Xenopus tropicalis: one gene and its partner. The protein of the gene in region 1 interacts with the protein of each later gene in a biochemical or structural test. Links are inferred from orthologs where the notes say so. Each region holds a gene or a part of one and is shown on either strand. Other genes may lie near its edges. The genes, in order: plin3 and m6pr.

The links.
Region 2: the proteins of plin3 (region 1) and m6pr form a complex in vitro, tested with the Homo sapiens proteins (2 studies listed by BioGRID). The link is inferred for Xenopus tropicalis from reciprocal best matches to the Homo sapiens genes PLIN3 and M6PR.

What each region holds. Positions count from the first base shown.
Region 1 is NC_030677.2:93,721,955-93,726,305, forward strand, and holds the start of plin3 (perilipin-3), read left to right. Parts: upstream 1-1,401; 5' UTR 1,402-1,509; exon of another isoform or gene 1,510-1,520; intron 1,521-1,696; 5' UTR 1,697-1,721; coding exon 1,722-1,772; intron 1,773-3,902; coding exon 3,903-4,098; intron 4,099-4,351. UniProt on the Homo sapiens protein: Structural component of lipid droplets, which is required for the formation and maintenance of lipid storage droplets. Required for the transport of mannose 6-phosphate receptors (MPR) from endosomes to the trans-Golgi network.
Region 2 is NC_030683.2:7,999,250-8,003,066, forward strand, and holds part of m6pr (cation-dependent mannose-6-phosphate receptor precursor), read right to left. Parts: intron 3,368-3,817; coding exon 3,258-3,367; intron 3,023-3,257; coding exon 2,892-3,022; intron 819-2,891; coding exon 692-818; intron 1-691. UniProt on the Homo sapiens protein: Transport of phosphorylated lysosomal enzymes from the Golgi complex and the cell surface to lysosomes.

The DNA of each region.
Region 1 (4,351 bases):
TTTGACTCTTGTTTGCCCCTTCATTTATTCCTCAAATTTGAGGGTTTACTAAATTATGCCGCTGTCACCTTAGGGACATCTCTCATATTTGGCCCTTCCTCACACAAGAGGCTAATAAAATTCTCATCCATGACCTTGTCAAATCTCAAGTAGACTACTCTAACTCACTGCTCTCTGGATTCTCCCTATGTAAACTGACCCCATTCTAATCCATCTTGAACACTGTTGCAGACTTATACTCTTCTCCCACTCCACAAGATTCTTGTACTCACCTACAAAATGCTCACCAGTGCCCACCACTATATATAGTGCACCCTAATCACCAAGATGTAATCGTCCATCTGCTGTCCGTCTCTTACTTGCTCATTACTTCCTTTCACCCCCACATGCAGTAGTTTTCACGTTACACCTATCCTCTGACATGCTCAGTTAGCAGGGCTAAACTGATTGCAGTTTATTTTAAATTGCCCTGCAACATGTATTTATTAGACCCTGAATTTTCAAGTGATCTAGTCACCCTGTTTTTATAACCTAAACACTCAGCAACTTGACTACCCCCCAGAACCCCTCTACTCTTTGCTTACACAATCACTACTACTATCTCTTACTCTTCACTTTACTAAAAAACAGAAACTCAGTCAAACTCGTTACCCTCAACATACTTTCTTTTTCTGTATGCTCTAACAAGCAGGCCCTCCCTCTAACAATATCCAATTGTAACTGCAAATTAATTTTGGAAAAAAGGTATATGTTAAATATTTTGCCTTGTATTTGAAAAATAGCACTATATAAATAATAATAACTTACAAACTCTCCTTAGTAAGAAAAGCATTTTAAAATAACACAAAGGATAAATTTAATTCTTTGAATTCTGACACCTGATATAAATAAATCCATTTTGAAAGCATTTGACCTGAAGCAACTAGTCAATTATTATATTACTATATGGGTAATGAGAGTTTACATAGAAGGCTAGCCTTTTAAGGCTAGAGTTAAAAACAATAAAACCTACCTTTTTCTAACAAAACAAATACAAACGGGTCAGGCTGGGACACATGCAAACTCACACTCAGTCTCTCACAGACACAATCACACACACACACATACACACACACACAGATTTAGCCTTACCCCTTAACTGAAGTCATTTCCTAATATTCTCTCATTCTCACACACACATAGCTTCAGTCTGCAGCAGCATGCAGAGAAACCTGCAGTGTTATCAGGAGAGAGAGACATAATCAGCACAATCTAGGATCTTAAACATCATTGTAAGGACCTTGGGCACTTGTTGTTGTGCCCTGTTTGAGGGGAAAACTTGCCCCTTACTGTGGATGCCTATAATAGTATTAGCTACATAGAAACTGCTTCTCCACTGTGCTGCAGCTGCCTTTTTCTACTGCCCCTTTTAGGCACTGAGTATAACTCCTCCCACTCTGATGACACATCAAGCCTTTAAGTAGGGGGAAGAAAGGAGGAGCTGAACTTACAAAGAGAGGAGACGAGTGTGTAAGTAAAGTGTAGGTATTAGGGGGGCTAATACTATCATCGTTTCTCAGTGTAGTGGGATTTTTTTCTGACTGTAAACAGTTATGTCAGAGCTGTGCTGGATTGTGGGTGGGGGTTGTTAAATCGGAACTGCAGTGGGATAAGTGCTTTTTTGTTCATATCTTGGTGCTTCTGCTCTTTGCCCCAGGTTAAATATCAAGCTGCGTGGCACAATGTCTGAGAATGGAGCTGCGCCAATTGCTGATGAGGTTCCCGAGCAACAGGTGAGCAGCCGCAGAGGTATCTCCCTTTTGTGTGTCAGAATTTGAAGTGCTTATTAGTTTACACAGCATTAGGGACCCAGTATTTGTGATGTTTAACCAGGTATCCGAAAACACCTGCGGTACTAATAGATATAGTTAACCACAATAAGGGAAAAGGGGTGTTTCTGCTCCACCTTGAAGTTTTCCCTTCAAACAGGACAAGAACAAGTATCCCAGGTTCCAATAATTTTGTTTAAGATCTCAGCTCCAGCTAATTCTGTCTCTTTCCTTCTAACGCTGCAGGTCTCTTTGGTAGCTGCTGCAGTCTGAAACTTTTTAGATTGAGTCTCCTCTGTGTCCCTGCCTGGTCACATGATGTGTGTGTGTGTGAAAGAAAGAGTGTTAGGAAATGGCTTCAGTTGGAGGAAAGGCTAAATGTCTGTGAGAAACCTAAAAGGCTCATTTATTAACACGGGGTACATTTGCACCTTGGCAGTAACCCATTGCAACCAATCAACTGTGTACTTTCATTTTTCAATTTACAGTTGGCTGAAAAATAGTCAGTCACTGGTTGCTAGGGGTTACTGCCCATGGGCAAATTTGCCCAGTGTTTATAAATGAGCCCCAGAGAGTGTGAATTTGTTTGCATGTATCTGTATTATTGTACAGTAAAGGTCACCAAACGTGGTAATATCAACCTAAACTAGGCAATATCGGGCTAATTCAATTGTTTGGTCCTTGGGCCAAATGATCGGAGTAAAATGGCAGGTATATGGGCTACCGGACCAAGGACCACATCAACGGGCCAATACAGTCCCTGATTCGAGGGGAAAATAAAACCTGTCTTATCTAGGCCAAATATCAGTCAGGTAGGCTTGACGGCAGTGCCCATACACGGGCAGATAAGTTGGCCATGTATGGCCATTTTAAGTGGGGCCATTGGTACCTGTGGCTGCTGAAACTAGGGAAACCTATCAAATCTCAGTCTGACTTCTCTGTATTTATTCTGTTAGGGGATTTTAAGGTTGTTTTTTTGTTTTATAATATCTCTCCCCTTTAAGTCTCTCTGGCCCACTCTCCCCATTGATAGGCAGCTCTGTTCCTGTTTGCCAATCCTGCTTATAATGTACATGTACCAATAAGTCTCTCAGTATTAACATTTATTAGGCATCAAATATATATAAAATAGTGCCCAGTCAGCCTGCTATGTAAACTCTCCTGTATAACCCATATAGTGGTATTTTAGGCCTTAAAGGGAAACGAAAGTCAAAGTCACTTGGGGGTGCCAAAATGTTAGGCACCCCCAAGTGACTTTAACCGCTTACCTCTTACCCCGGGCTGGTGCCCCTGTTAGGAGAAAACAGCACCAGCCCGGGGCACCTGGAGCGCAGCGCTTCCGTCTTCCTCGCTTCCTTTTCCTGAGTGCCAGCGGTGGGCGCATGCGCAGTAGAGTGAAAAGCCGACTTTAACATTTAAGTTCGGCTTTTCACTCTACTGCGCATGCGCGCGCAGCGAATCAGCAGCAAGGAAGCGCCGGCAGCTACCCCGGGCTGGTGCTGTTCCTTCCTCACAGGGGCACCAGCCCGGGGTAAAAGGTAGGCGGTCAAAGTCACTTGGGGGTGCCTAACATTTTGGCACCCCCAAGTGACTTTGACTTTATTTTTCCTTTAATAATAGTTATAGCTTGCATAGCTACATAAGTGACTGCTTCTGGTCAAATGCAAATAGATTTATTTCAGGTGTCAGAATTTGAAGAAAAAGTACCTCCCTTTTTATTTGTTACTTTAAAATTTCTAGCTCAGTCCTTTTCCATCAGCCAACCATGTAGGAATAATGATTTTGGCAAAGATGTTCTTATATGTACACTACATGAAGACGGCAGATTTGGGACATATTCAGAACAGAGGCTCATGCAGGCTGTCAGTCCATATAGGGGCTACCAAATAGCGAATAACAGTCCTTACTTGGCACCACAGGAACATGTTTTATGGTTGTCTTGCTCCCCAAGTCTTTTTACATTAGAATGTTGCTCACGGGTTAAAAGGTTGGGGATCCCTGTCTTAAAATGTGCAGTTTCCTTTAATAAACCTTCACATGCTTTTTTGTTTTTGATCCAGTCCTCAAAACCTTTAGATGTATTTATTTCAACAGAATGCAGTGAGCCGAGTGACAAGCCTTCCTCTGGTTAGTTCGGCATGCAGTGTTGTTGGTGCTGTATATAGCTCCACCAAAGAAAGTCACCCCTACATACGCAGTGTGTGTGACGTGGCTGAGAAAGGTGCGAAGACTCTAACGGAGGCTGCAATGAGTGGAGCTCAGCCACTGCTAACGAGACTGGAACCACAGAGTGAGTAACAAATAAAGAATATGGAGGATAGTGAATTTATACACCTTTTTTGTTAGAGCTGTATAGCATGTGTGATCTTCTTTCAGGATAAAGGGGTGATAACAGCAAAAAAATAAAATAATTTCTTTGCGGTTCTTTGCATATAAGACTCTGCTTGGCCTCAAAATATGCTGTAGGCCAAATGCACCAGACCGGAAAATGCCCTGTGTGCCTTAGTACTTACAAACCTACAGGATGTTGTAGGGCTGTTTTA
Region 2 (3,817 bases), on another chromosome or scaffold:
TGGACTCAGCGCCTCCTTATTTCTCATATACACACAAACGCACAACTTTACTTAACGCTTGATTTGCATATGCAAATTAGGATGCAGATTCAGTTCGCGCTCGCACACTCGCACACACCCGCGCTCGCACACACCCGCGCTCGCACACACCCGCGCTCGCACACACCCGCGCTCGCACACACCCGCGCTCGCACACCCGCGCTCGCACACTCGCACACACCCGCGCTCGCACACTCGCACACACCCGCGCTCGCACACTCGCACACACCCGCGCTCGCACACACCCGCGCTCGCACACTCGCACACACTCGCTCACAACCGCACTCGCACACACCCACGCTCGCACACTCACCCGTGCTCGCACACCCGCGCTCGCACACTCACACACACCCGCGCTCGCACACTCACACCCGCGCTCGCACACTCGCGCTCGCACACTCACACACACCCGCGCTCGCACACTCGCACACCCGCGCTCGCACACCCGCGCTCGCACACTCGCACACCCGCGCTCGCACACGCCTGCGCTCGCACACTCACACACTCGCGCTCGCACACTCACACACACCCGCGCTCGCACACACGCCCGCACGCACTCGCACACACAGGCCCGCACGCACTCGCACACACAGGCCCGCGCTCGCACACACAGACCCGCGCTTTATGGCCGACCCATTGTGTCACTACTCACTGCCGACAGGTTGCCGAGCTCTTGCCACAAAGTGATATTAGGAAACTGCTCCATCCCTTTGGCTCCAACCACAAAGCGCTGGTAAAGGAACCCGCCAATGAGGTAAACGGCCACCAGAACAGCGAACCTGCGGGTTAAACATGGATTGGATTTTACATGGGCATGTATAACCGGTGTTATTTACTAAAGGGCCGTATATATCATTATACTGAGAATATAAACTTTCCTACAGCCTCTGCCTAAAGGGGTTGTTCACCTTGGAGTTCACTTTTAGTATGGTGTAGTGAGTAATATTCTGACAATTGCAATTGGTCTTCATTTTTTATTACTTGTAGTTTTTTCGTTATTTCATTTTCAGTTCAGCAGCTCCCCAGTTTGGAGTTTCAGCAGTTATTTGGTCGCTAGGGTCCAAGTTAACTTAGCAACCAGGGGGTGGCTTGGATGAGAGACTGGTATATGAATAGGAGAGGGACTGAATAGAGAAGAAAGTTACAAAAAGTAACAATAACAATAAAACTGGAGCCTCACAGAGCAATAGGTTTTGGTTGCCGGGGTCAGTGACCCCCATTTGAAAGCTGCAAAGATGTAGAAAAAGGCGTTTAAACCATTTAAAAACTGTAACAAATAAGGCAGACCAATTGAGAAGTTGCTTAGAATTGGCTGTTCTATAACACAATAAAAGTGAACATAAAGGTGGCCATGTTGTGGGAACGAGTGGCTCGTTTGGGGGCCTCACTGGGTATGGCCGCCTTAAGGGGAGAGGATCCGGTTTGTTAGAGTTATGATTCTCCTTTCCCTTGGGCTGATGGGAGATTAGGTGATTAGTTGCCTGGGATTAACTTCCTTTACTGCCAGTGACTAATCTCATCTGTGACGGCCCTTAAAGGAACAGTAACGCCTTTTTGTATTTTATCATCTATGTAACGTAAACTATTTCCTAGCAACAAATATTCTACTTCATATGAAGCTTCATTTTATCCCCAGGTCTGTCATGTTTCTCTCTCACTGTGTTCTGCACAGATTGTTCCCTGCTATGTGAGCGTTTGCTCTGTCGCCCAGTTTCATCTGGAACCACTCCCCCCCCAAATAAACGGCTCCCCCCATATAAACGGCTCCCCCCATATAAACGGCTCCCCCCATATAAACGGCTCCCCCCATATAAACTGCTCCAGGGTCTCTGAAGGGACGAGAGAAGGACAATGGTGCTAAGCCATTTTTTATTGTTATCTGTGCCCCCTACTGTAAATGATAAGGATATTAGCAGTCACTGAGGGGCTCTGTGCCCATATAAAGGCACAAGGCTGCAGGCTGAGTTATACAGGGAACTCTGAGTATCACTCATGTATTATAAGGGATAATGTACCCCCCTACTGTAAATGATAAGGATATTAGCAGTCACTGAGGGGTTCTGTGCCCCCCATATAAAGGCACAAGGCTGCAGGCTGAGTTATACAGGGAACTCTGAGTATCACTCATGTATTATAAGGGATAATGTACCCCCTACTGTAAATGATAAGGATATTAGCAGTCACTGAGGGGTTCTGTGCCCCCCATATAAAGGCACAAGGCTGCAATCTGAGAAACCCTACTATAGTTTATATAAATACCCCGCTGTGTAGCCCCGGGGGCAGCCGTTCCTGCACTGGTACAGCTGGGGTGTTTGCTACAGAAACCCTACTATAGTTTATATAAATACCCCGCTGTGTAGCCCCGGGGGCAGCCATTCCTGCACTGGTACAGCTGGGGTGTTTGCTACAGAAACCCTACTATAGTTTATATAAATACCCCGCTGTGTAGCCCCGGGGCAGCCGTTCCTGCACTGGTACAGCTGGGGTGTTTGCTACAGAAACCCTACTATAGTTTATATAAATACCCCGCTGTGTAGCCCCGGGGGCAGCCGTTCCTGCACTGGTACAGCTGGGGTGTTTGCTACAGAAACCCTACTATAGTTTATATAAATACCCCGCTGTGTAGCCCCGGGGGCAGCCATTCCTGCACCGGTACAGCTGGGGTGTTTGCTACAGAAACCCTACTATATATATAGTACCCTGCTGTACAACAACACACCAGTTGTACCAGTGCAGGGCAACAGTACATTATATTGTAATTACTTTTATATTTTGGTGTTACTGTTCCTTTAAACCCTTCCTGCAGCTCCAAAACCTCTCTCCAGCTCTCGGCCAATGGCGAGCCAACTCACACGATCAGGAGGATGGAGCCGGCGCTGAGATGCGACTCTTCGGGAGGGCAGGCGAGGCTGCTGTCCATCTCAAACAGGTAGAAACATTCGCTGGATTTGTTCCTCTCTTCCTGAATTACCGTGAAGCCGTCCTATAGGGGAAGAGCAGAGCCTATCAGTAGGGGGCGTGGATACTGCACAAGGGGCTTTTAGCTCAGCCCAACACAAAGACCGTCCGGCAAGCAGCTTTTTCAGAGTGATTTGTCACAACTGCCCCGTGGGTTCTTACCCTTAAAGGGCACCTAGCACCAGATAGGTGCCCTTTAACATTGGAGCTAATTAATTAATGACTAGTAATTAACGAGACTCCTGTCCCGTTGGTCTCACCCCGACAGTCCCCTTGTTGCAGGATATCATGACCATGGCTTTCCTCGCTTCGTTATTGCAGTGAGTGTCGTACTTGTCGCCACTTCTATAGTACAGCATGATCCAGTCGCCTGTGGGAAAGGGAGGCACGTTAAAGGGGCGGTTCACCTCTACCTTTAGTATGTTATAGAATATCCTATTCCTAGCAACTTTGCAATTGGTTTGTATTATTTATTAGTTTTTGAATTGCTTGCCTTCTTCTTCTGACATTTCCAGCTTTCAAATGGGGGTCGCTGACCCCGGCAGCCAAAACCTATTGCTCTGTGAGACTCCGGTTTTATTGTTATTGTTACTTTATATTCCTTATCTTTCCCTAGCAGCTAGGCTGATAGGGAACTGAAGCATGTCTCTGTGTGATTGCAGGGCTGTGATTGGCTACTCCCCTCCTACTGTGCTTCTGGCAGGGACTGTTAAGACACACCCACCCCTCATGTGAAACACAGACAGGGACCTGAGAGGATCTATAGGGAGCTCCAATAAAGGGGCCATTGTTACAGATAGGGTTCATGTTTAGCTCAAAG